4 linked regions of the Mytilus edulis genome follow. The protein of the gene in region 3 purifies or fractionates together with the protein of the main gene of each other region. This does not show direct contact. Links are inferred from orthologs where the notes say so. Each region holds a gene or a part of one and is shown on either strand. Other genes may lie near its edges. The genes, in order: RNA polymerase II-associated protein 1-like, DNA-directed RNA polymerase II subunit GRINL1A-like, GPN-loop GTPase 1-like and DNA-directed RNA polymerase II subunit RPB7.

What was found.
Region 1: the proteins of GPN-loop GTPase 1-like (region 3) and RNA polymerase II-associated protein 1-like purify together in Homo sapiens (affinity purification with mass spectrometry; 3 studies listed by BioGRID and IntAct, with this or other methods). This does not show direct contact. The link is inferred for Mytilus edulis from reciprocal best matches to the Homo sapiens genes GPN1 and RPAP1.
Region 2: the proteins of GPN-loop GTPase 1-like (region 3) and DNA-directed RNA polymerase II subunit GRINL1A-like purify together in Homo sapiens (affinity purification with mass spectrometry; 3 studies listed by BioGRID and IntAct, counting the BioPlex papers as one, with this or other methods). This does not show direct contact. The link is inferred for Mytilus edulis from reciprocal best matches to the Homo sapiens genes GPN1 and POLR2M.
Region 4: the proteins of GPN-loop GTPase 1-like (region 3) and DNA-directed RNA polymerase II subunit RPB7 purify together in Homo sapiens (affinity purification with mass spectrometry; 4 studies listed by BioGRID and IntAct, counting the BioPlex papers as one, with this or other methods). This does not show direct contact. The link is inferred for Mytilus edulis from reciprocal best matches to the Homo sapiens genes GPN1 and POLR2G.

Annotation. Positions count from the first base shown.
Region 1 is NC_092346.1:62,500,372-62,507,358, forward strand, and holds the start of RNA polymerase II-associated protein 1-like, read right to left. Parts: upstream 3,024-6,987; 5' UTR 2,912-3,023; intron 1-2,911. Other genes in the region: dynein regulatory complex subunit 5-like, read left to right, coding at 5,618-5,936, 6,626-6,987. UniProt on the Homo sapiens protein: Forms an interface between the RNA polymerase II enzyme and chaperone/scaffolding protein, suggesting that it is required to connect RNA polymerase II to regulators of protein complex formation.
Region 2 is NC_092347.1:30,986,486-30,993,396, reverse strand, and holds the start of DNA-directed RNA polymerase II subunit GRINL1A-like, read right to left. Parts: upstream 3,010-6,911; 5' UTR 2,977-3,009; coding exon 2,901-2,976; intron 2,396-2,900; coding exon of another isoform or gene 2,295-2,395; intron 1-2,294. Other genes in the region: max-like protein X, read left to right, coding at 2,295-2,395, 4,254-4,350, 5,038-5,137, 5,738-5,822, 6,265-6,381.
Region 3 is NC_092349.1:17,861,151-17,869,089, forward strand, and holds the start of GPN-loop GTPase 1-like, read right to left. Parts: upstream 3,004-7,939; 5' UTR 2,973-3,003; coding exon 2,844-2,972; intron 1-2,843. Other genes in the region: serine/threonine-protein kinase 36-like, read left to right, coding at 6,014-6,097, 6,804-6,944. UniProt on the Homo sapiens protein: Small GTPase required for proper nuclear import of RNA polymerase II (RNAPII). May act at an RNAP assembly step prior to nuclear import.
Region 4 is NC_092346.1:55,903,273-55,910,320, forward strand, and holds the start of DNA-directed RNA polymerase II subunit RPB7, read right to left. Parts: upstream 3,018-7,048; 5' UTR 2,962-3,017; coding exon 2,950-2,961; intron 1-2,949. Other genes in the region: large ribosomal subunit protein uL4m-like, read left to right, coding at 3,180-3,257, 5,269-5,341, 5,580-5,757. UniProt on the Homo sapiens protein: Core component of RNA polymerase II (Pol II), a DNA-dependent RNA polymerase which synthesizes mRNA precursors and many functional non-coding RNAs using the four ribonucleoside triphosphates as substrates.

The sequences.
Region 1 (6,987 bases), on a different chromosome or scaffold from region 3:
GTATTGTAGTTCCTGAGAAAATTGTTACGAAAATTTTCACAACTTGGCTATCTTGGGTAAAATCATACAAGTGTTCGGTAAACAGGAAGTTGTCAAGTGATGAATCTTAAAACGCATCACACGGTATAGCTGACTTATATCAAGCCTGATACCAAATTTCAGAAATCCTTGTATTGTACAAATGTTGTAGTTCCTGAGAAAAATGTGACGAAAATTTTCAACTTGGCTATCATGTGTAAAATCATACAAGTGTTCGGTAGACAGGAAGTTGGCGATTGATGAATCTAAAAACGCATCACACAGTATAGCTGACTTATATCAAGCCTGAAACCAAATTTCAGAAATCCTTGTAGTGTAGTTCCTGAGAAAAATGTGACGAAAAATATTCATGGGACGGACGGACTGACTGACAGACTGACGGACTGACGGAAGGACAGACAGAGGTAAAACAGTATACCCCCCTTTTTTTCAAAGCGGGGGTATAATGACCCACTGGATAAAAAGAAATATAGACCTGTGAGCATTTTACCAACAATTTCAAAAGTATATGAAATGGTTATGTCTGACCAGTTGACTGAATTTTTTGAGAATATATTTCATGCTTTTTTATGTGCATTCAGAAAAGGTCATGGATGTCAGACAACTTTGCTGAGACTCCTTGAAGATTGGAAAACAGCCCTGTATAATAATATGTATGTGGCAGCTATTCTTATGGATCTTTCAAAAGCTTTTGACTGTTTACCACATGATATTCTTTTAAGTAAATTATCTGCCTACGGTCTTTCTTTTAAATCAGTGAAATTACTTCAAAATTATCTTACAGATCGTAGGCAACAAATCAAACTTCAGGGAGTACTCAGCAGTTGGGATGAAATCCAGAAAGGGGTACCCCAAGGCTCAATCCTGGGGCCCCTATTATTTAATATTTTTATAAATGACATATTCTATTTTATTGAACATGGTACCCTATATAATTATGCTGATGATAATACTCTGTCATATGCAGACAACAATTTTGAAAATTTATTATGTACACTTGAAAGAGAAAGTGCTGTTTTAATTGACTGGTTTAGTTTTAATTGTATGCAGGCAAATCCTGACAAATTCCAAGCCATTGCAGTTGAAAATAAAACATTTGCAAAAAAGCCCGTTTTTGATATATACAGTCAGCAAAAATATCCTGTGATGAGATTGTCAAACTTTTAGGTATTGATATTGACTATCAACTTAATTTTAATCACCACATTAAAAATATTTGTCGTAAAGCATCCCAACATCTGAATGTTTTAAAGCGCATTGGCTGCTACCTTACTAAATTGAATAAATTTACCATTTTCCACACATTTATTTTATCTAATTTTAATTTTTGTCCTTTGGCATGGCATTTTTGCAACAAAAATAACACCACCAAATTGGTAAAAATTCAGGAAAGGGCTTTACGATTTATATATGAAGACTATGTTAGTTCATATGATGAACTAATTTTACGAGCAAAGGTTCCATCATTGAAAATAAGACGTATGCGTAACATGGCTATTGAGTGTTTTAAGATTTTATATAAATTGTCACCACCATGCTTACATGATTAAGTAGTATTGAAAGATTGTAAATATAATTTTAGAAATTCTAATATTGTAGATATACCAGAAAATATATTTTCGTCTCTCTCGGGAGTTTAACACAATATGACAATGAAAGACAGTGTGTACCTAATAATTCCCGCCAACTTTTACATTATTGAAATCTAAAATACCTAGCCTTCCGAAAAACATAACATTGATGGTAAATACCTGAGAGTGCTGAAAATATATTTCCGGTAGGTGTCACTTTAGTACTTTCATTTTCAAATGTAGGGCCTCGATTCGTTCTATTTCAGAAATGTCAAGTTTGTTTTAAGGACTGCAATAGTTATATGGGAACGAAGTCCCCAATAACAGTAGAAAATTCAATAAAAAAAAATTAAAAAAAAAATATCGGGAAAATTTTTTCATTGTACTAATGAACTCAAAATCATTCAATTTTTTTTTTGTCGCGTTTTTGAATTTCCAGATCTGCGCAGAAATCTACAATGTACTTCCTTTTTCCGGTCTCGTTTGTATGAAACTTTGAGTAAAATATATATTTATCAGTCTTGTATAAAATAGGAAAGAACGCAATACCAATTTCATTTTTTATAATTCCTCGATATGAAAAAACGTTACCTGATGATAGCGTTTCTTTGTTTACATTGTATATGACGTCATTACTTAAATAACGTCACAACTAAAATCCCTAACAACAGGTCAGAACCAAAATCCGGGAAACGTTACGGTATTTCCATTTCTTTTTTTTTTTTAACAAATATTTAAGGTACAAAAAAATAATTCCTATAGACTTCGTCCCCATTTACAGGTAATGCCTGCCTCATATTAGAGGTTACTTAAGGTAATAAATATATGTCATCATGGTCATTGCAGAGATAATTCAAGTGGGAACAGATTTATTCAGTTCACAAAGGAAGTGAAAGTCTTAGAAAAATTTTACAGCAATAATTTGAAGCATTGTCGCAAATGAGCTTCCTCCCTTGTGTTTTTTTTTGGGTTTCGTATGGATAGTAAACCCGGCAAATTTATTGTAACAAGCCCCTGTGCTGTGCTTCTACCACTATTAAAGTGACCACCATCATTAGGTTGACTGTCCTGTAAATGTTTGTTGTGCGCTTGTTTACCTTGGGAAATCGTGGTACAGTTGTATATAAGATCTTTAATTTCGGGTGATTTTCAACAGAACCAAAATCGGAGAGCGTTTATACGGTATTTCCTATTCTTTTCTAACACATTTTGAAGTTACAAAAAAAAATCATACAGACTTCGTCTCCTTTCACAGGTAATGCCTGCCTCATATTATCTACTTTACATTTAATTCAATATACCTGAATTCATATGAAATGGGATATATTTAAATGAAAATGAAAAACTATGTCAGCAGAAAACCTGCAGATGGGCGCAGCCATTTTGTTTTTCCACCGGATACGGAACTCGCTTGAAAATCTACTTCCGGATTGTCATAGTAACGAGAAGCTTTTAGAAGATCATACTGCAGAGTAAACTGGTAAATTCTATTCTATGTTCAGACTTTTGCGTCACTTAAATGGCAAAATAAGTCTTAATATACTCTTATATCAAAGACGTTTCTGTATATAGTGTGTAACATAATTAGAGCAAATAATTATCACAAACCTTTGGGCTTGACATCAGTCATCACAGTATCAGAATATTTTGTTACTCACATGTACTACTATTTGAGGAATCCGGGTCCGTTCGCCCTGATTTTTATTTTTTTCTAGTTTTTGTCTAGTCGCATTATTTTAAGTATTTGAACAAAATATGTTAAAGTTTGGTTTTTTTTTTTAATTTACAGAATATTTATATTGCTGCAATCAATTTATCATTTTCCCTTTGATTTGCAGAGTAGAATACTGGAATACAATGTATTCATCTTTATTGATATAAATTGTTAACAAAATGATTGTATTCAGTCAATCACGAATGTATGGCAGTATGACTAGTCTTTATAGACTAGAGTATAAATAAATAAACTTGTAAATTTTATCCGTTTCATAATTTACAGTTGTACATCATTGTTTTTATTAATTTCAAGCTGAATATTTTATCAAAACAACAGATTTGTTTTTATTATTAATCGGCCAAAAGACAAGTATGACACAATAATCAGTGATTCAAATTATTTTGTCAGTGAACAATTAATTATCCTAAACAAGCCATAAACTTTTAAATATTTCAATAAATTTCAAGAATATTATATACATGTACATACCATAGAAATATCTATTTTCATTCAACTTCAATGCCCTCAATATTAATATTTTTATAGTAGGGCGAACAAACCCTATGGGTGAACGAACAGACCTAGGGGGAACATGTTTTAAGGGGGAACGCTCCCGATACCCTACATGAGGGTTGTAATGCCCTTTACCTTCAGGCATTAAACAGTCATTTACGGCTACCATTAGGGTCAAATTGGTTAAAATTTTACCATTATTCGTCAAAATATCCTTATCGTAATTTGTCAGATGTCTCAAATATTTAACGTTACTGTTATATTTGGAGAAAAAAAACAGAGTGATTTATCAAATTAAGCTGGTTTTTTTTAACGTCATGCACTAAAAATTACTGTTAACTTCATACGACAAGAATTTTTACTGTTATACACCATGAAGGTACCCCCATTACTACCCTCCTACATGTATATTATATACATGTAGTACCATCTATACAGATGGGGTACAAGATCTGACTACCAATTCCAACAATATGGAAGGAATTTCAAATATGTTGCTTTATCCTTAACAATGACTAGTTCTTGTCATATATTATTCATAACAAGTACTCACATCTTGAAATTAATAGCCATTAAGATTAATTTTACAAAACCACACTCATTTAGGCAAATGCAAACATCTTAAGACAGCTTTAAATGATATGAGACAGGCATTACCTGTGAAAGGGACAAAGACTGTATGAATTATTTTTTTTAATTAAAACATTTTAACTTCAAAATCTGTATAAAAAGAAACACAAATACTGTAAGGTTTCTGATTTTCGGTTTTGGTTCTGTTGTTAAGGATTTTATTTGTGACGATATTTAAGTTATGACATTCTGAATTGAAAATGCTGTAGATGAAGTCTTTATTTAAATTTTTAAAAATCACCCCTGTATACTTCTGCAGTCAAAGAGCTCAGCATTTTTTTGGGTATAAATTGACCATGACAATACCTATAGCTTGGCAATTGATCAAAAATAAAATAATAAATGACTGTCAGAGAAAAAACTATTAGATGTTGAAATCAAAATTGGTCAAATAAAAGGTATATTGAATTTATTTAACTTTAATTTTGTCTTCATATTTTTATCAACAAATTACAATATTAAAAGCTAGTTTAGAATTAAGGTATAAATAGACTCACTACACCAAATTGTTTAACACATTCATTTATACATTGTAATGCTTTAATAATATGTTGTTATATTTTCTGTGAATGATGTAAAATTCATAATTAATTAACTGTGATTGTTGTCTTTTAAAATGACAATTTTGTGAACACTAATTATTAATTAGTGACAAAATTTGAAAACTTTTTGATAAGCTGTCACATGTCATGGACCAGAACTTCCAATTAGATTTAAAAACAAATAACCTAATTACATTTTTCATTAAAAAAAGTAAGTCAATATTCATTTGCAGTGGATCTGACTGTTATTCCTTTTAAGTTAAATATACCACGTACATGTATACAGGTAAAGTGCTTGAATTAACTTATAGATATTTTCAGTTGGTTTCAATGCTAACAAAAATATTGAAATACAATTTAAGTAGTATCTGGATTAGGCTCCTCTTTTTGCTAGAAAATTTACTACAGATCATGTAAAATTAACATACATGTAATGGGAGAGTTATAATATAAACCTAACATTTGCAGTTGTAGTACACTTTTCTCCAGTTTAATTTAATAAGCTATAGGACTACAGTGTCTAAGAGGCACAGATTTGTTAAAACTTTTACATAATTATTTTTTAAATGAAAACTGATTGCAATGATTTATTATTTTTAGCCAAGATGTCTGATCCAGCAGTAACAGATGGTACAGGGGAAGATAAAATTGATGACGATGCCAAAAGTACAAAGAGTGGACCAAAAAGTCAGCCTGGTTCTAAACAACCATCTAGAGCTGGGTCTGCTCAATCAGGGAAGAGTGGGAAGAGTAGTGGTAGACCAGCTATGGCAGCAACTCCTGCTGGATCTGTTAGGGGAGATAATCCAGCAGCTGACTGGAGACAGATGAGGAGAATTATAGCTGAAGATCCAGCATATTCACTGGCAACTGTCCCATTACTGGTGGATTTGTGTATCAAACATATAGTTACACATTTTGATAGTAAGCAAATAGTTTTATATCATAAATTTCTAAAATAATTATACATTTACAGTAGGAAAATGTTAAACATAATTACAATAACCTTGACTTACTTTTAGGATAAAAGCCGATTCTCAGAAACTGTTCATTCTTTAATTATAATGAAAATTGTGGTGAAAATATTACTAACTTTTGCCTTTGATAGTTTTCTATACAATATTTTTTTTTGCTCATTATTGAAGGCTATAAGGTGAACTGTAGTTTTAACATCCTTTCCTTTGATATCTGGTGGATAATTTCATATGTAATCTTACTACATCCCCTTTCTTTAATATATTTTACATTGATTGGGGTTTTTTTTTCTGTTGTCATAAATTGATGTATATTACATAAATACTGGATGCTTTTAGTTTTGGGTATGTTAAATGGATCAATCATCTAAAATGAATTACTTTGATTTACTCTAAATCACACAAAACACTTAGAAATTTAGATATAAATGACAAAGCTGTTTGAATTATTTATATCATTAATGCAAAGGCTTCGTGTTGAAGACCATACTTTGACCTACATGTATAATTGTTTACTTTTTCTAATTGCGACTTGGGTTAGGAATTGACTAATTTTCACTCATACCACATCTTCTTATATCTGCATATGTTTTTCATGAATTATCATAAAAAAATAACTGATTTCCATTTTTTTTTCAGATAACTCTACCATTTTGAATGACCTCCCACCAAGATACAAGTCTAAAGTGTTGGACAAAATCTCCACTGACATACCTTTGAAGATTACTGCTAATCTGGTACAGGAAGAGGATTACTGGAACAGATGCTGCAAAGCAAGATGGGAAATTTGTGATGTTTCTCAATATGGTGGCAACTGGAAAAGAATGTACTTTGAGAGAAACCTCCAACAAATCGTAGAAAATTTCGTACCAGAGACAACAGACCCCAATGAATTAAATGAAACTCTGCCCTTGTCTGCCAACTATGTTAAAAAGTTAGATGTCCAGCAGTTACTTCCCCCTGTTAGAGAGGCCCCAAAAGGTCCAGATTTTGATGATGCA
Region 2 (6,911 bases), on a different chromosome or scaffold from region 3:
CACCGATGTCCAGAAATTGTGTGAGAAAATATTTTAAGAATATACGATGCTATTCTGGACACAGCAAAAAAAAATCGTTTCTGCATGGAGAATTGAACTTGATATCAAAGAAAACTGGCTCTTTTTTGTAGAAAGATAGCTGACATGGATTAAATTAAAGTAAGACCTCTAATTTCCTCGTATAAAGTCATCTATATAAATTATAAAAACATCAATGCATTTCAATATGACCTTTTACATTGAAGGGTTAAACTTGCATTAAGTTCAGACCCTTTAACTGAAAATAAAGGAACATGGAGTAAACGTGCACGGAACATAATCTCACACAAAGTCAATGCATAGAAACAAATACAATGATCAATGGTCAAAGTTTTTATTCTTGTTCTTCATCTTGATAGTTACTGGAGGGTCTTCAACAATAAAAGAATCATTAATACCCCAAAACAAGGTCAAGATGGTCCTTAGTGACGACTTTTCAGTACTAGTATAATTATAATAGTTGCACTGTCACTATATTTAAATATAATAAAAAAAATAATAAAAAAAGTCTAAGCACTATACAAGACAACAACAGAACGACAGACAGATCCGGTTTTAATGATTATGATTTTTTACGATTTTTAACCGGATTTTTGTGACAAAAATGTCGGTTATTGATTTGGGGATGTACGGCGGGCTGTCGGGCGGGCGGTCGGTCGGGCGGGCGGGCGGGCGGGCGGCAATCAAATGTTGTCCGTGCATTAACTCATGAACCGTTCAACCAAAGCTTTTAAAATTTTAATATGTTGTTACTGACAACTAAATGAAGGTCAAGTTCAATAATGGCGATTTTGACTTTTACTGTTCAGGAGTTATGGTTCTTGAAAGATTGAAAAATGGAGTTTCCAGTCGTTTTCGTGCATTTACGCATGAACTGTTCTACCTAAGCTTCCCAAATTTTAATATGTTGTTACTGATGACAAAATGGAGGTCAAGTTTAATAATGGCGATTTTGACTTTTACCGTTCAGAAGTTATGGTTCTTGAAAGATAGAAAAATGGAGTTTCCAGTCGTGTCCGTGCATTTACGCATGAACTGTTCTACCTAAGCTTCCCAAATTTTAATATGTTGTTACTGATGACAAAATGGAGGTCAAGTTCAATAATGACGATTTTGACTTTAACCGTTCAGGAGTTATGGTTCTTGAAAGATTGAAAAATGGAGTTTCCAGTCGTTTTCGTGCATTTACGCATGAACTGTTCTACCTAAGCTTCCCAAATTTTAATATGTTGTTACTGATGACAAAATAGAAGTCAAGTTCAATAAAGACGATTTTGACTTTTACCGTTCAGGAGTTATGGTTCTTGAAAGATTGAAAAATGGTGTTTCCAGTCGTGTCCGTGCATTTTCTCATGAACCATTCAACCAAAGCTTTTGAAATTTTTATATGTTGTTACTGATGGCAAATTAGAGGTCAAGTTCAATAATGATGATTTTGACTTTTACCGTTCAGGAGTTGTGGTTCTTGAAAGATTGTGAAATGGCGTTTCCATTCACGTTGTTGCATTTACTCATGAACCATTCAATCTAAGCTTTTCAAATTTTAAGATGTTGATACTGATGACAAAATGGAGGTCAAATTTGATATTGATGATTTTCACTTTCACCATTCATCAGTAATGGTTCTTGTGATATTGCCAGGACACAAATAAATATTAATAAATCCGGTTTGCTGTCGTTGTGACAGCCTCTTGTTGCTTTATCCTACATATTGGTCTACTTTTAATGTTGTCCCTGTGAAACCTAAAAGTCTTTAATTACAATTAATCTATGTTTTAGCTTTGAGACCAGTATCGTGTCGAAAAAATAGCTAAAAATTAATTGCGTTTCAATGTAAATAAAAAGTCCGGGAAACGCTCAGAATGCACGATTTTGCGTTATTTTTCTCAGAGCTTCAGACCCCTCGCCAAAATTTTTTAGCCTCGCTACGCTCGGCAAATATATTTTGCCTCACTATTAAAAGAGGCTAGTTACGGCCCTGGATACATCCATTTTATTGTTTATTACTTAATATTAAGTGATTAATATTTAAACTTACCTAGACTTAATCAATGATTAACTACGTGGTTAAAAAGTTCCCCATCAAAGACTTTTTAGTTTTTACAGTTAACAAGACTTTTTTTCACGATTTTGGACGACATAAGGTACATATTATACAAAAATGTGTAATGTACTCAGCCAGTTATGGTAATAAATGTTGGGAATTACATACATTTGTAAATGTTGGGAATAAAACTGTTATAAAATGTTTGCAGATGATGAAGACAGTGATACAAACAAACAAACAATGACATATAAAGATCGTCGACGTGAAGCACACACTCATGCAGAACAGAAAAGGAGAGATGCCATTAAGGTATTAAAGCTTTAAAAAATGTAAACGTTTTACAAGTAAGTGGAGATGCATGCCTTTGCAATTATGTCTGCTTTGGGGATTAGTGAGTTATGATATCTAATTTTGATCAACATCATCTAAGTGGATTTTTCAGTGCAATTGTTCATGCTATTATTTAACAATTGACAAAAATGCAATATTAATTATTGCGATTTCAGTCAAATCTGCATACAGTTATATTTAAAGTCAGAATGCAAGTTTTAACAAGCACAATCTTCACCAAGTCAACTTATTCACAATAAATAAAAATTCACAAAAGTTTCTGAATTTACAGCATTGGTCCCATTACCTTATTTAATTGATGGAGGTTTTGTTGCTGTAAAAAAAGCCAGGGTACAATTATAATAATAAAAAAATAATTTGAAGAGCCCCAAAAAATTACTGTTAAAGAGTTGTTATAGCCATGATAATTCATATCAACTGATTGTAGTAAACTTTTCGTTATGGATAGATATCCTTGAATTACCCTGTGTACACAACTGCTGCTTAATCTTGCAGTAGCTTTTCACTTTTAAAGTGGAAGTTTGTAGGTCCCATTCCATGCTACGACAAATCAAAGAATTGAAAATTGCTATGTGTTGCCTTTTCTCTACAGCTGTGGTCACACCTTACCGGATAGCATGAACGGACGCCTAACGGATGAAAATAAAAGTTGTCCGTTGACAAAATTGCTATCCGTTGGATGTCCGTTGATGTACTGACCAAATAAAACGAACGCGTAACGAATGCATAACAGACACACACCGGATATGCAACGTACGAGAAACGGAAACGTACTGCACAGAACGGATGTCGAAAGTACATCTAACGGACAAGTACCACATAAAACAGACACCCAACGGAAGCATACCGGATAAAAAGGATGAACAAGATATACGGAAAAATTAAAGGCAACAATAATAATACATTTAAATTGCAAAAATATTCAAAAAGTTTCTGTGTAACTGATTTTGGTTTGTTCTTCAAAATGCCGCCAAAGGGCAGTGTCTGGCCTGAATAAGAGATGCTTGATTATGAAGAGGTACCCTTACTCTAAGATCGATTATGAATAATAAGAATTCATGATTCTTAAGAAATTTGACATACCAATAACTGGCATTTCTGACGCGAAATTTTTAAATGGCATTTATCCGTTTGAGATCCGTTCATCATCCGTTTTATCCATTATAAGTCCAGTAGAAGTCTGTTTCTCATTCGTTCAACATCCATTTTATCAGTTTAATGTCCGGTAGAAGTCCGTTGGTGAATTTATCTTCCAGACCTCCAACGGATGTATAACGGACACGTAACGGATACAAAACGGAAACGAAACGGACAAGTACCGTACTAAACGGACGCCTCTAAAATGTCCACTGGACAGAACGGACGTAGACGGATAAAACGTACGCTAAACGGACATGCAACGGATATGGAAGGATGTCTAACGGATAAAAACGAACGTCTAACGGACATGAACGGATTGAAAAAAAGTAATCCGTTGGGCATCTGTTCGAGCTTTTCTTTAAGGTGTGACCGAGGCTTAAGCAACCTCCATTTAGGAGTAATAGAAATATTGGTTGGCTTGACCTCAGAATAATGTATCTGTGGAGAGTAGCATGTCTTTATGTGGATTGTTACCTTATGAAATATTACATTAAAAATCTGGCTTAGCAAGTCTGACTAGTATGTATACAGTACAGGATTCATATTCATTTATCTGTTCTTGTCTTGATAAGGATGTATTATTTGCTACTTGATATGAAACACTGATCCATTATCATCATGTGTACAGCTGTTATACAATTGAGCGTCAAATAACATATTAAGTTTATCATTACAGAAAGGGTATGAAGAACTACAGAATATTGTTCCTACCTGTCAGAATACAGACAGTGTTGGCTCTCAGAAACTCAGTAAAGCAACAGTTCTTCAACGTTGTAAGGAAATATTTAAAAATTTTCAATTCAAGATTTCTTTTTGCAATTATAAAGGGCAGGATGTCCAAAATAGACATTCCTTCTGGATTGAAAAAAAAGAAAGTCCAGATAGAATTGACTCAATTAGGCATTGCAAATGATGTTGTATGATTAGGGATAGTTTATGGTTTGGATAGCATTTTTGATAGACTATTTTTCCTAACAAAAACACACTTTTCTGTTATAAAAGTCACATGAGAAGTATTTTAATACTGTAAAACTAAGCTCTAAGTGAATACCTCATCTTGCAAGCAGTAACTAACAATTGCTTATAGGTTGGCAAACATCTGAGATTGACACGATTATTGTGAATCTTGTGGCTAGTACTTTGCTTGGGATTAATCAAAATCAAATACATACTTTTATTGCCATATAAATCAAAAACATGATCTGTGACAAACATAACATATAGTGATATATATTAATCAGGCTTGTGTTTATACAAATTATTTTCATAAAATGAGTCATTGCGAACAAGGCAATGCTATGTACAAAGGAGTTACGTTAATAATAATTAAAGGTCATCAACAAAGCAGGGTCTTAATAATAAGCTAATTCACACACATTGCATATTTATAATTATTAAAAAAAAATTGATGAGATTAATTGTAGAAATTTACAATTTACCAGATGCATTCTATTTTGTAGCCATTGATTACATTCAGTATTTGGTATCACAAAAGAAAAAGCAAGAAGATGATTTGGACAATCTAAGGAAAGAGGTTATGGCTCTGAAGATTATGAAAGCGTGAGTACATATTACCGTACATGTATCATATGAGCATAAATAACATTATTATGATACATGTATTTCTCATAAAAAAAATTCTCTATTAGACAATGAGCAGATATACATGTATATATTTATTTAAAGCGTATGTGGTTTTTGTTTCTTCTAAACCAGCTGAATTTTGAATCAACAGGTGCATAAATTGATAAACAAGATAGCATATTTACAGCTTATCATTCTTATTATCTATGATATTTGCCAGTGGACATTAGACCGACAACAATAAATCATACCTTGTGAGTTGAAATAGTGTGCTCACAAGTAATCATCTCACAGTACAAGTATACATATCTTTCATTAGTAATTTGCCATCACAATCAAAATGCAGTGTACTGCATGTATATTTTGGTCCTCTGTGCAACATGTTTTTTGGGGGACATAGAAACACCAGTCCTCTGTCCCACCAGTCTTGTTAGTGCTCTCACAGATTCAAGTTTATTTTAATATCATGGATCAAGTAATGGTTATTCTTAAGTAAAACTTAATGCCAAATGTATTTATTCAATGATTTCAGTAATGATTCCTACTAATGACTATCACATTTTTTTCATGTTACAGGAATTATGAGCATATAGTTAAAACTCACCAGAATCAGCCAACTCATGGACAAAATCAAGTTTCTGATGAGGCAAAGTTTCAAGTGGTTAGTATGGTATTATAATGTGATTAGCTCAGTATGCCTTTTAACTCCTGAGTTTAGTCTTTTAAGTTATTTGTAATTTAATAAATTTCAACTTTTTTGAGAAAATTTAGAATATCTTTGATGGTTTTGACCTTTTTAATTAAAAAAAAAAGGAAGGTATTTTTTTTTTTTGATTAGTTACATTGGCAACTACTGTAAATTCAGAAATTATTGCGAAAATTGCGACAGGGTTATAATCACGGTACTTAAAACTTGCATTAAATCAAACAGGATTTTTCTGAATATCGCAAAAATTAAATTGCATTTTAGTCTAAAATGACAAAATGGCAATATTAGATGCACGCAATATTTTCTGAATTTACAGTATATATTAATGTACCTATTCTGACTGTTTCTAATTGTTGACATTACATGTTGTTTATAAGTTTTACAACTGTTGTAGTTCCAGCAGATCATGGATACTTTGTTCCAGTCGTTTCATGCCAATGTGTCAGTATCTAACTTTGCAGAGTTGTCAGCATGTGTGTTCCAATGGTTGGAGGAGTATTGTAAACCACAGGTAGGGAAATGGTTACAAAATTATTTTAGACCATGCGGTTCCTGACCTCAGTCAGACACATCAATATTTAGTATGTTCAAATAGTTTTTTTTCTGAACCGTCCTCCTTTTGACTAGTGAAAATGACACAAAAGAAATATACAGCAAAAAGTACAGGAAAACACTAGAATTACAGTAATGGGCAAGATAATTCATGAATGTTATGGCCCATTGCATTTTCCATTGGTCTATTGAAAAAATTGTAAGATATTTTCCTCCAGCTTCTAGAGAAAATAGAAATAAGATACATTTACTGAAGGATTTTCAAAGATCAAAAAGTCCAATAAATACTGACAATATCATGGCAAAAAAAAAGACGACATAAAGATGAACAAAAGTAAGAAACATCACATAGAAAACTAAAAACTGAGCAACAGCAACCCTACCAAAAAAAACCACCCCAGAATGGAAAGCAGTTCCTGCTTCACATGTGACAAATTTTGCTAACATATAATTAAAAAAACTAAGGATATATTTAATAAACTGATGATT
Region 3 (7,939 bases):
ACTTACTTAAATAAGTGATTTTTAAATCACTTATTTAAGTAGCAAATTCAAAGTTTTGTCACAAATTGGGATTTTGTAGTTTTACCAAAATTTTAAACACATAGGTTTAAATAATATCTTTTCATTAGTAAAATTGAAAAAAAAATACCTTTTTGCTTCTTTTAAGTAGCAAGGTTTATGCCTTTAATGCTATCATTTAGCTGCAAATTCTATTTTAATTGAAAAAATGCTATAATATTGGCTTTACATAATGAACTGATACTTTGTTAACAGATTTTTCTCAGCAGTGGAAGTATTTTTCCTGTGAAGTTCAAGGTTTCATCTTTCAGATTATGTAATAAAATTCTACTGTTTGTGATAAAAATTTCACTGTTCGGGGGTGTTGAAATTAGTGGGGGTTATTAAAATAACGATACTTAAAGAAGTGATTTTTGGGAAGGAAATTGAGGTATGATACTTAAACAAGTGATTTTTATGTCATTATCCTAGATTCAGTACAAGGTCATCACCTGAAATGACCTACATGTAGTCATCCAAAAACACAGATGTTGGTTCTGATAATTTTAGAAACATAATTAGTCCCTTGATCATTGGTATTCTATATTTAAAGCTTCAATAAAATTAAATCACTTCTTCTAGTGATTAATTTGTACTACTAAAATAGGTGATTATTAAAGAAAGACAACTCTTACTTTCAACCTTTGTGGAAATAATGTTACTTGAATCAGTGATTTAGAAAATCACTCATTTAAGTAAGTCCCCTGACTGTTCACAGATAATGTACATGTAGTATATTTTTTAATACACCTTATTGCTATCTGACCGCCATTACTGGATATCACACAGGTTCTCATAAAATGTTGACGTCATACAACAAAATATCTGACGCCACAATGGAAAAGTGATTGCTGTATGCATCAAAAGTTCAAGCAGCCGGTTCAGCTGGGATTAGCGATTAGGTGTATTAAATAAGAAAAAAAATTTCAACATGTTCAAAAGTATTTGTATATCAGTCAGGGGTGGTAAATAAAAAAAATGATTTCAAAATCACTTCTTTGAGTGATTTTGCCTGTGAAATATTTAAAATTTTCGCACAGACTTTTCAAAATCACTGAAACAAGTAATTTGAGAAGTTAAAATTTAATCACTTCAATAAGTGTTTATAACATTTTTGGGATATTTTTCCCACAAACTCGATTTTTTTATTGGTAAAAAGACCTGATTTACATTGAAAAAACAACTATGTACATGCAGTAATTGTCATTTGCTTGATAAGCTTTAATTCTAAGTTTTACAGCTTATTTGAATATATGCAATTTTTAAGTAGCACTCCTGACTGTATATTGTACGTGGGTCTCATTGGGGTCTAAGCGTGACGCGGGATTGCTGTTTTTTTGGTAAGCATGAAACGTGAAAGTCAATTTATTATGCCATGAAAACGGGAAATGGAGTCTAGCGGGACACGTGAAATTACAAAAAAAAAGAGAATTGCTTACGTACATAGTGTTAGCGGGATATGGGAATCAGACAAAACAGTAAGCGGGATCCGGGATCAGAACCCCCAATGAGCATGATGAGACCCCTCGTCCGCCCTGATTTTTGTTCGCCCTAGTTACTGTTCGCCCTAGTTCCTTTTCGCCCTGAGACCGTTCGCCCTGATACCTGTTCGCCCTGATTTATATTTTTTATAATTATAGTGTTGTGTTCTGTGTATTTAATTAAATATGTTGAAGTCAGTCTACAATTTCGCCGAATATTTACGATTTTTATTTTTTATTATAGTGTTGTGTTGTGTGTATTTAATTGAATATGTTGAAGTCAGTCTACAATTTCGCCGAATATTTACGATTTTTATTTTTTATTATAGTGTTGTGTTGTGTGTATTTAATTGAATATGTCGGACGGCTTGTACAGTTTGGCAATAACTTTCAGAAAGTGTGTTGTTGTGATCACATTGCCAATGTATTGGTCCCATGCTGTCTGGATCTTCTCTTCTAGGATGGTGTACTTCCTATGGATGTCACGCTCTAGGTCTTCGGCACGGACACTGTAGTCGACGACTTCTGCTTCTGTCATAAGATCTGGAATTAGGACGTAGAAGGAAACACCTGCGTGCTTGGCTGCATATATAACAAATTTGTCAAAACGCACTTGAGATCAAAGAAGCCAAGCTGCGAAAATAATTTCCCTTTCATGCCTAACAATTTGTACATCAGTGTTTTTACCCATCCAAGCTGACTATTTTATTTGAGAAAAATTTTATTTTCATTATTAATCCATCAAAGACAATTCATACAACAATCAGTGATATCAAAGATTTCAAATTATACCTAATCAGCAATCAAAATTCATTCAACAGTAATTAAAAGTAATTATAAAATAAACTGAGTGTAACAATGCAGCTACGAATTTTATTTAATTAATATTCTGTATTCAGCTTTAATAGATAAACATAAATTTTAATATATATAAATATACATTTCTTTTATTAATGAAACATATTACATATAACATATACATATCATTTATGAGAATAGGGCGAACGAACTCAGGGCGAACGGAATACCAGGGCGAACAAACTCAGTGCGAACGAACCTAGGGCGAACATGTAATCAGGGCGAACGATCCCGATACCGGACATGCAGTTTATTTTTTAATAAAAAAAATCAGTAACTATAGTTAATTCTTTATATAAAGATTTGCAATTAAGATTGATATAACATTCTTGTATTGTATATTTTTAATGGATATAATGATATGTCTGGCTTTGGCTTTGCAGTGGTTTTAAAAATGTGTAAACAAGGCAAAATAAGTGAAATTATTTAGCCGACGACGACTGTCACCTGAACAAATGTTGTTTTTCCAGATCCTGCCATCCCAAGAACTATAATGCAAGTAGGTTTTTTCATTGTATGTGCTTCTGTTCGTGTTTCTGATGGAATTTTATCATCAACTTTTTCACAACATGCCATTTTTCAGAAAATAAGTAGCAAATTAGTTGAAGCATTATTTTCGTATGTTTTTGTAAATATCTGTTGAAAATAATAGTATCATATTATAAACTGATTATTATAGATTTAAAATAAGGATTGTTTTTTTGATCTCATTACTATTACAACTTATCTTATTTCTTATTTTTTTAATACGAAAATAGATGATACAATGGTACGCAAGCGCTGGAATTCCGGAAGAGGGGAACTTGAAACAAGCAGCAACGATGTAAACAATCTAAAAAAAAAATCGACAAAACAACAAATTAACTCTTAACCTGGCAGGTAATTTGTCGATTATGCATAAACATTCACCCCAGACACTGGATACATTATTGTTTCTAAGAAAACGAGGGCTTCACTGGCTCTAACACCAGGGGTTTCATTATCTTTCATGTTGACTGGTACTTTCCACATTTCTAGGTGGTACTTTTCAATTTATTCCATGAATATCTTATATAAAAATTCCTACATTTAGGCGGCACTTGTCAATAGCATAGGAGGGTACAAGTACCGGGTACCGCCTCCTAATGAATGGCCTGTAACACTAAGGCCGAGTTCACTTGAAACTCTACAAAATTAATCGACTTCAGAGTTAATAGATTATCACGTGAACGCACAAGAGTTGATATTCGGAACAACTCTAAGTAACTCTGACCCAGCATAAAAAATAAGATATTCTCATTGGTTTGACATCATTCAAGAGTTTCTCAAGTTTAACCCTGGCTCGGTGAGGGTTGGAACCAGGGTACGAGGGGTTGACTCAAGTGGTATCAGGTCCGTTCGCGCCCAATACACTTTCGCACCCTACACGTTCGCACCTCGTACATTCGCACCCAAGGTCTGTTCGCACTCTACACCTTCGCGTCCAATTTTAATTCAAATTCCAGTTGAATAATTGGAAAATCATGATTGTTGTTTTAAATTGCTTTGGTGTAAATACTGAATGTATTTATAGCTTGGTATGAGTAAAACATTGAAGATTTTAAATGAAAAACACAAAAGATAATTGTTTTTAACAGCTTGGTCCCTTTGATCTGTAACAATGAAACAATAAAATATAGCAATACACGAATTATAACCAAAACATGATAAAATTTATTCAACACACAAAAAAAAAACGTAGTCAGAATCTCACTTTATTTTGAAACAAGTCAGTGAAACAAAGTTTATCAATACACTAACCAAAACATGATTAAGAGTTCTTCAACACAAAATAAAACTTTGACAGAATCCCACTCATGACTTTATTTAGAAAGGATTATTATTTTTTTTTAACAATACACTTTCCGAAACATGATTAAGATTTATTCAACACAAAATAAAAAAATGCTGTCTCACTTTATTTTGAGACAACATGGACAATGACAACAATTATACTTATAAGAATACACTTGCCAAAACTTGATAACAAAGTTATTAAACACAAAACCAATTAAAATTGGGCGCGAACATGTAGGGTGTCAACACGACTATGGGTGCGAACATGTAGGGTGCGAAAGTGAAAGGGGGCGAACATGAGTGGGTCCGAACGTGAATGGGCGCGAATGGACCCGGATTCGACTCGAGTGTTTCAAGTAAAATCGTTTTGTTGAAACCCAAGTAAGTAAAGTTAACTCCAGAGTTTCAAATGAACTAGGACTAACAGACAGTGATTGGGAAGACACTGTCACTCATCATCATATCAGTCATGAACTTTAGTATTGTGACAGGAAGTATTTCTTTAGCTCAGTCGGTTAATGAGCTGCCTTGAAACACAGAGGTTCGAGTCCCAGTGGAGACATGCAATTATTTGACAAGTAAAATCATGCTCTCCGGTTACATTGGTGCAAGTTGTTCTCTTTTTTTTTTTTTTTTGCCATCATGTTTTGACTTATGAGTTTGGTATCTTGGCATTCTGTTTTAGTTCTTCTTTTAGTTTTTCCAAATTATCTTATGCATGCAGGCATGGATGTCTTGAATCAAGGCTCGCGCTAGCAGGCGACTGGGGCAATAAATTTGCTTTCCTATTGGTCACTTTGCTGGAAGTCAAAAGAGAAATATAGTCGCCCAGTTGTTCACCATACTCGCTTTCAGTTGCTATTGTCTTCAGCAATTTATTTGAGACACATGTATACCATAACATGTAGTTCAAAACTTTATTATCTGTCAACCTTGATAAATTTCAGGGTATCACACATCTGTGACATCATGCACATTTCACACAATCTCATGACCAAATTTATTTAAGTTGAATATTCATCATGTTCATGTTTATTTTTAGTTGCAGTCTATTATATAAATAAAAACCAGGGTGTGGAAATGGTGTGCTTTACTCGTCTGACATTCATTTAAACACTAGTGATACAAGTATTTTTTGTCTGCATTGCGTGTGTACAAAGTAACAAGTAAAAAATTACACTTGATAAAATTGTAATAAGGAACATATATATTACTTTATTGAAGTAAATAAACCATTTTGTAAGACATAGAAGTATGTCTTCATTATATCAACTATAAACACCCTTCTTTTTCATGTCCCAACTTCTAAAGTAGAGGGGCATTATGTTTCTTAGTATGTGCGTCTGTTCATATGTCTGTCCCGCTTTAGGTTAAGGTTTTGATTAAGGTACAATGTAGTTTTTGATGAAGTTGATTAAATGTCAAATTAGAGTTTTTACCCCAATTTCAAGGTCAGACCTGCATGGTCTATTGAACATATAAAATGATAGTGCGAGCGGGGCATTCCTGTACTAGATGTATTATGGACACATTCTTGTTTTTTTTCTTGCTTAAACTACTGAAAAAATCATTCTTTAGTATTTGAGATATGGAGAAAAGCATACTGGTATGCATTGATGTAAAGTACAAGCACATTAACATTGTCATTAGCTACAGATTAGATTACCTGTTGAAAAATTATAAAATCTGGAGTCAAAAAATTAGAAATATGAAAATAGTTTATTACAAACATTAGTTATCAAAAGTAATGCAATACATGTACAAGTAATTATAACCTTTTTTCCAGAGAGAATAAACAGAAAATGGACAACTATCATGTTCTGGAAATTATTGGTGAAGGATCTTTTGGTAAAGTGTATAAAGGGAGAAAAAAGTTTTCATCACAGGTAAAAACATGTCTTCAGTACACATAAAAATCATGCACAACACGTTTCCAAATAGAAAATGTGTGTGTCAATGTAAGAAAAGGCATGACGTAATTATTGCAAAAATGTATCAACTGCATCTTTTTTTTATACCTTTTTATATTTAAGGTTTGTAGAGCAATGCAAATGCTTGTGGTGGATGATTTTGATTATTTTTTTTAGTTGGAGAAAAGCATATAACATGATGGAATGATGCAAATAACAAGCCCATGTTTGAAGATATAAAATCATTAGAAAATGAACTTTATCCAAGCAACAATCAATCATCTTAAGGTGGTACCCAACACCTTGACGTATATTAATTTGGCTCGTTTAATTTTGATAAAATTTTGACAAAAATATAAAAATTAAAAAAAAATTAAACCAACCACTTTATCAGAAAAATTTCTTTGGTTATATTATAATTTCACAAACACTCATTTTGATCATTGAGAAACTTAACAATACATTGCCATTAAAACGCTTAGCTGATATTTACAGAGTTATCTCCCTGTAGTGTTAGGTACCACCTTAATTATTTAAAAAAAAAAAAGGAATAAACCATGCATACATCATTGTACATTTGAATTTATAAAGATAGAAGAGCTTCCAAACTTTTCTACTTTACAATTTAAAATAACAATTATGTAGTAATATCCAGTAAAATAATATCTTGTATTTATTTTAGGTGGTGGCCTTAAAATTCATTCCAAAAGTAGGAAAACCAGAAAAGGAGTTAAGAAACTTACGAAGAGAGATAGAGATTATGAGAAACTTACATCATACAAATATTATTGAAATGTTGGACAGTTTTGAAACTGACAAAGAGGTATGATATTAATATTACATAAACATGTTCCTATTCTAAATATGCATATCATTTTTTTCCAAGTTGTGAAAATTTATTAATAAGGATTGCCACTGTCAGTAAGGGATTCTACTTGTACAAGTAATTTTTATTTACTTGAAGAAGTAATATTAATATACTTACATTGTATATAAGTAAATTTGTATGATATTAACACAAGTGAATTATATTTACTTGTATAGAAAAAACAATTGGCTTAGTTATGTTCCTTAGACATTCAGTCAAATTTTTTTACTTATATAAGTGAAAAAGTCATCCTTTTGATGTATCTTCATTTCTTAAATTCTTATGATTTCTTTGCTTTATTAATAGAATTAAAAAATTTTCTGCCCTTTGCACATGTCTTGAACTCTAATAAAAAATTATGAGCTACATTGGGAAAAATCATTAAAAGCATGTTTTTACATCTCAAAACTTGATAATTTTTATGGGATTGTAAAAATAATTCACTTTGATATACAGTCGACTCTCGTTATTTCGAAGTCAGCCGGACCAGAGAAATATTTCGAGATACACATAGTTCGACTCAAAACCAGAAGTTTGACAGAACAAGGGACACAACTCTTGCTTAGCTTGGTAAAGCTAAAATAAATCCGGGTGAATATTGGAAGGGGATCGATATTCTGGTATCAGACCGATGTACTTGTATGTCAAGGTCTTTCATTATTATAATAACATTATTTTTACTTTTTCAATTGTTTCCGTTACAACCTTTTTCTATGGCTTTTATCCGAGAGAGTAATTTCCAATTGATAGTTCCGTTATTCAGGTCGTTTATAGTTGACAAAATTGTTTATTCTTGGATACAAGAGACTTGAGAAAATTTAGATTCCTCTTCATTTTGTTTTATCTCACTCTTTCTTTTCAAAAGAAAATACAACAAGATTAAAAGACGCCGATTGAGTAGTTTTTAGGTGATCATCAACGGAAGTCATAATCCTTACTTTATACACGCC
Region 4 (7,048 bases), on a different chromosome or scaffold from region 3:
GCTATAATAAAAAGCGTATGTTTTTGACGACTTTTTTTAACTCAATATATGGTCATAAAAATGATTTACAGAAAGCATATAAGTTCATAAAGATCTTTTTAAATTTAGTGTGTACATCCAACATGATGACTACGGAAATCGCAATGGACGCCATGTTGGATGTAATATTTAATGTTTAAAAGTCACCAATATGTGCTAATATTAAAATTTCAAGTGTTATTCGGATAATAACAGTGTTATCTGGTCATTCCTGTTACCCCACTCATGTAGGTGCCTGGCAGTTTGATATGGTCATGATGGATGACATGCTGGTCATAAGATGACTGTGATATCTACGTTTGAAGGTGGATCTGGCCAGATATTTCCGAGCAGATGTCTCAGGATGAAAAAATCCAGCACAAATAGAACAGTTGTGGCATTATATTGACCTCAAGACCTGAAAGTTGTTCGGATGGATGGTATGCAGCCCGAAAAAAGAAAAGGGGGAAGAGTGTTAAGACCTGGTGAGATTGAGGGTTTGAATCCTGCTGGTACCATCCATGATTTTTCAAGAGTGTTGAAGACCTGGTGAGATTGAGGGTTCGAATCCTACTGGTACCATCCATTATTTTTCATTATAATTACTTAAGATTTTTGAATGTCATAATTTGTATGAATCCATGACAAATCGCCCCACTGGCAAATCGCCCCACTCCTAATCGCCCCACTTTTTCACAAACTTGCCCCACTTTATAAAAAATCGCCTCACTTATGAAAAAGGGTAAAATCCCATTGCATAAAGGTTGAACAACATACCCCACTTATGAAAAGGGTTGAAATCCCGCTGAAATAAGGTTTGCCAACTAGCCCCACTTGGGACAAATAGATAAACCACAATGAATTTATTAGTGCCAACTCGCCCCACTTATGAAAAAAGATGCAATCCCGTTGTATACCTATGTCCCTGTCCCACTTCAATACCTATGAAAACCTTGGTGCGAGTTGGTGAAAAAGTGGTGCGATTTGGTGTGGGGCGTTTTGCCAGTGGGGCAATTTGTCCTGCTTCCATTTGTATATGTGCTAAAAAATAATTGATGGTCTTAATCTAGGAAAGCGTCCCAGAAAAAAGTTAAAATAGCCTTGCCAGACGTCATAATTATTTGGATAGTCCGAGATTACTCTGACGTCCAACAGCTGTTTTGCCAGACAAGCTGGGGCCGTGGGACGTCAGAGCTCGTCCCATATCAAAAAGTGGATATTTGCCCACCCAAAATAGATGCGCTACTTCGTCGCTTCTGATGCCGACTGACGGCCTTGGAATTATATAAATTGGGCATCAATCTGTTCATTTTTCATTTATCTCTTCATTTATGTAAGTTTCACTACCTGCCAACCTTTATTTTTCCATATCTTAACAGTTTTCACAGTGACCCATCGATTTCGGCATTTTGACTTTTACTTTCAAATGGACGTCAAGTTACGAGAGAGTTCGTGGTCTCGAGACTCAAAATATGCAAATATCAATGTTTAACATTTAGTAGCCAACCACGATTTTTCACCTCCTTTACAGGAGATCGGTATGAAGCATTTAGTTCCGACCACGTTACAATCGGAAGCTCTCGGATATTTAGATAACTTGCATCGTAAATGAACGAGGTGTTACATTATGGTCATTTGCATAAATCATCACTGTTTTCTCGTGGTCACGTGATAATCTTTAAACATGAGAGGCAAAATGCCGAAATCGATGGGTCACTGTGAAAACTGTTAAAATATGGAAAAATAAAGGTTGGCAGGTAGGTGAAACTTACATAAATGAAGAGATAAATGAAAAATGAAGATTGATGCCCGATTTATATAATTCCAAGGCCGTCAGTCGGCATCAGAAGCGATGAAGCAGCGCATCTATTTTGGGTGGGCAAATATCCACTTTTTGATATGGAATGAGCTCTGACGTCCCACGGCCCCAGCTTGTCGGGCAAAACAGCCGTTGGACGTCAGAGTAATCTCGGACTATTATTTGGACTAGTCTTAGTCATGTTCACAGCTTCCTACACAGGCACTTGTTTCTATCCATTGGAAGACCCAGTATCAACGTATATTTACTCGTAAAAAAACGTTGATAGACTTTTACTGTTTTAGTGGGTCTTCCAATTAACAGGTTGGGAACAAACCCCCTGTATGGTGATTATACCTCTACAGAGGGATAATCCTTCTTTAGAGGGATAAAATTATCCCTCTAAAGAGGGGTATTTTTGTTTGCACCTGATTTAAAGCAAATTAGGGCAGAATGGCATTTTCTAGTTATATTGGCTATAATCTCTAGCATTATATGAATCAACATATGCACTTTACTAAAAATTGGGATAACCAGTTTTCTGCTAAAGTGACAAAACTTGCAATCTATTGTAAACCTATCTGAACACCTGATCAAGAACAAAAGGAATAGTTGACCTTTAAATTTCATGTTAAATCTAACAATAGAAATTCTGTTCAGTGAGGCATAAGTGAGTAGAATTTACCTGATCATCACAGCTTTCAATCATGGTGAACAATAGATTTTATATTTAATCAGATAAGCATCAAACTGGGCATGTGCATATTAAATTAATTACATCAATTGGTGCATCAACTGTTCCAGGTTACTGCCATAATAAGTAGAGAATGCCGTTCTGCCCTATTTTGATTTAAATCCAGTCTAAACAAAAATACCCCTCTATAGAGGACTAATTTTACCCCTCTATAGAAGGATTATCCCTCTATACAGGTATAATCACCATATAGAGGGTTCCCAACCTGATTAATGAATAATTTATGGATAGAAACAAGTCAAATGCAAGTGCCTGTGGCTTCATATCACATAGTTTATTAGTTAACAACACTTTTTAAAGTTTAAAGCATGAATACAAAACGAAAGTTTTATATTTAAACGAGTAAAGAGGGAGAGTTTGTGTAGAATTACGAGCTTACATGAAAAAACATTGTTTGCTGAAATTTCACAATCGATGTAAAATTATCTCCCCTTTTTCTGGTACCCAAAGAAATAAGGACCACTATAACAAATTAAGCCAAATTAATATAAAATAATTCGTAAACCAGTAAAGTCAAACTGGTTTTAAAGCAGAAATTCTGTTTTTGTCGTGCTCAACATTACAACCATAACATCTGTACCAGGAAAAAATAATCACATTGGACTAAAAATGTTTTGTTCAAAGCATATATTTTGTAGACTTAATAGCCAAAATTTTAAGAATTTGTTTACATTTACTGCAGCACGTGTAAGATATTCAATTACATAACAGAAGACCTTTCAATTTACATAACAGAAGACCTTATTGTAGATTCTGAGAGGCTGTCAGTCACACGAAAAGGGGGTTGTGTTCTTCAACTTCAAGGACGTCCGACATAGGCTCATAGCCCTTGGCCTTGCTCCACTAATCATAATGAAGCTGCACTTATGAGGGTGTGTGTTCAAGGACATAGCCCTTGACCTTGCTCCACTTATCATAATGGAGCTGCACTTCAGAGGGTGTATGATCACGGATCCCGCTTATTGTTTAGTGAGAATCCTGTATCCTGCTTCTCGATGCCATAATAGCACATAGGATTTCAACTGTTCAGCTGGAGTTCGTTTCCGTGAGGGCAGTAATGCCTTTTACCTTCAGGAGACCATTTTCAGCTACCGTTAGCACCAAACTGGTTAAAATATTACAGTGATCTTTAAAATATCCTTATGGTGATTTTTCAGAGGTCTCAAATAATTATCGCTTTTAAAAATTGTAACAGTTCCTAAAGCGATAGTCCAAGTATGAGCTCATTTCAAATTCTGAGCTTTAGACTGCCCTGAACCTGATGAGTGACGCCATTTTTATTGTTCCTTCAGACATTAAGCCTGGCCGCGATGTCAGGCATGTGAAAGAAACCGGAAGTCCTGACAAGAATATTTACATGACCGGTCTCAGGAGAAATAGTAAAGGAACAATAAATAATACTGACTTTAACCAATTTTCTTAAAGAAATGGTTTAATTAATAAGTAAACAAAGTGACCACTTTAACCCTCCCCTCTCTTAAGAACTAATGTGCCCATGTACAATCTACATATTAGTTCTAAGAAATTAAGTTCGGTGAGGTATACTTACGAAATACCTTACACAGACATAGTTCAATCTAAGAAAGTGGTGGCTAAAGTCAAAAGGACCACTATAACAAACACACTTTTTTTCATTTATGATTTTGATGTCCTGTTACTTCGGTTGTACTCTTGTCAGGACACTTACAGTAATGGTGGGGGGGAGGGGTTAGCAAAATGTAGCTATGGAAAATGTCAGTACAAATTCAGGAAATGCAGTTGTTTTTCACTTGTTCTGTACACGTTGATTGATAGGGTTTAATTTTGTCAGTTTTTTCCATTCTCATTTTTATTTAAATGTAAAGACTTCCTGATTATGAATTTTGAATTTGAGTTCGGTATTTTTGTTTTACTGTTTTATTTTTGATACTATTTTTCACTGTTGCTATATATCCTAAAATTGTGAATTTACTGAGCACAGCTGTTTTGTGCTGTATTGCCATCAAGCACAGCAGGGGTAGAAAAGTGAAACTGGTAAAATGTGGTAGACCATAGCAACAGTATGAAACAGATCTCCTTTCAAAACATACTGCATATAAAGTTCAACTGTGCCAAGCAATGATAAAAAAACTTGTGTGACAAGCTGCTTGACAAGTTTTTCAGCCTTAAAAGTAGAAAGATAGAGTTCTATATGGGCTAAAGATGTTGTTCTTGTATAACCTGTGATTCAACGAATAAACACAAATGTTTGATTAACATCTTTTATTAAAATATGCCCTTTTCATATTATCATATCGCGCGTTAAATGCCCTTTTTCAGGATTGGCACCCTGCCCTTTTGAAAACCTAGCTGGAACACTGTGTTGGCACTCAAATGTCCCCTAGTAGTTTTAATTTTTTCGCTAATATGTCCTGCGCCCCTTTACAAATGGTCACATCCAGGTACAGAGTATGAACACTGAGCTTCACAATAGGAAAAGGAAATTTTATATAATCATGAGTAATTACTAAAACTTAGCCTAAAATCAAACAGTAATATCACCAGTGATATTTCACTCCTTCAGTTGTTTTTCAAGATTTGAACAATTTTTCATATTTGACATGTTTGATTTCTATGTTTCTTTATGATAAATAACAATAGTTTGCAAATGGATTTGGACCTAGCCTGTGTGCATCACATGATTCTAACTAATGATAATTATCACATTTGGTTTTAACAGAATGTGACAACAACAGGAAGTTTGAGGGCAGAAGACAAAACAGATGTTACAGGAGAGTTAGAAACAGCATCAGGTAATTATGTCGGTTTGTTAGAATTGTGTATTTTACAAAAATTTTTATACATGTCTGGCATACTTATTTATAAGCCTTACATCATCATGATCATTGTTGACTTTAGATGACATCCTTTTGCTAGAATTTTTTGTAATCCATCTTTAAAAGTATTTCATTGAGGGAAACCAAAAAATCCCAATTGTGTCACCTTTATGTTTGCCACACATTAAATCTATGTATACACTTTTTATGACAGATCCACACCTTTATGTACCAGATAGACCACCATTGCCAATTGTTACATCAAGACAACTGGAATATCCATCTGAGCATCTGCCATCCAAACAAGCATGGTTAGATACAATGGCAACACTGGAAGATGAAAAGCTTGGTATTGTAGATCTACATCCAAAAATATTTGGCACCTATCCAAGGTATCCAAGTTAAATAGAGTTTCCAAAGTTTTATGTTATGCTTTTGGCCTTAATGAGTCAAAAATGATTTGAAACTGAAACAAGATACTTTAACTTAGAAACAGTAATATTTAGTTTCTGAAATATATTAAAGAGGAATGTCATTACAGTAAATTTTTGAAAAAATATTTAAGGAATAACTGTAATATTTTTTCTGTCTATGAAGAAATAACATTAAAATGTGGTGCACACTGAATAACCCGCATAGGGGTTATTTTAAAGTGTGCAACACATTTTTTTATGTTATTTCGAAAAGACAAAAAATATTACAGTCATTTCTTAAAATTTAATTCTAAATTCCATTTTAAACCAGAATAAACCATGAAAAAACGTTGATGACGTCAGGGTCATATGACAAAATTATGAACTGATAAACAACATCAGCATCAGAAGACGCCTTACATCTAAAACTAAATTATTTCATAATAACCAACTAAACTATGCTTTTCAAATAAGCTAGATTTTCTCATCTAATCTGAATTTATATATTTACCAATATGTCATAATTGTATCATGAACCAGGCATTATACCTAGATTTTCAGTGTATCCAAATTGTACAAAACCAAGTATTTTTTTGTCATACATCAATGTACATAGAAAACATTTTTGTTCGCTTTGGAGATTCCGTATATTGTCAGGTTATCGAAATATCAATGGGGACTAACTGTGCACCACTTGACGACTTGTTGCGGACCTGTTTTTGTATTGCTATGAGTTACAATTTATGACAAAAATCAGCAAAGACCCATCGAAACAACATCTGATAAACAAATTTAATAATACTTATAGATATTTGGATGATATTTTGGCTTTCAATAATGACGACTTCAGTATGTATACTAAAGAAATTTATCCTGTTGAACTTACTTTAAATAAAACTAATACTAACAATGACCACTGCCCTTTCCTCGATCTTGATATCTATATCACTAACAGAAAGCTTAATCGTTAATTATCCATTTTTAGATGGTGACGTTCCCTTGTCACCATCTTACTGTGTTTATATATCTCAACTTGTACGATTCGCTCGTGTATGTAACAATGTTTTAGATTTTAACGAGAGAAATTTATGTATTACTGAAAAATTATCACACCAGGGTTTTTGATATCACAAACTAGTCAAAACATTTACTAAATTTTATCATCGATTTAAGGACATCATTCGTAAATATAGCTCAACATGCAGACTTCTTATACGTTCAGGTATTTCACATCCAATTTTTTATGGAAATATTCTTTATAAAGCACAAA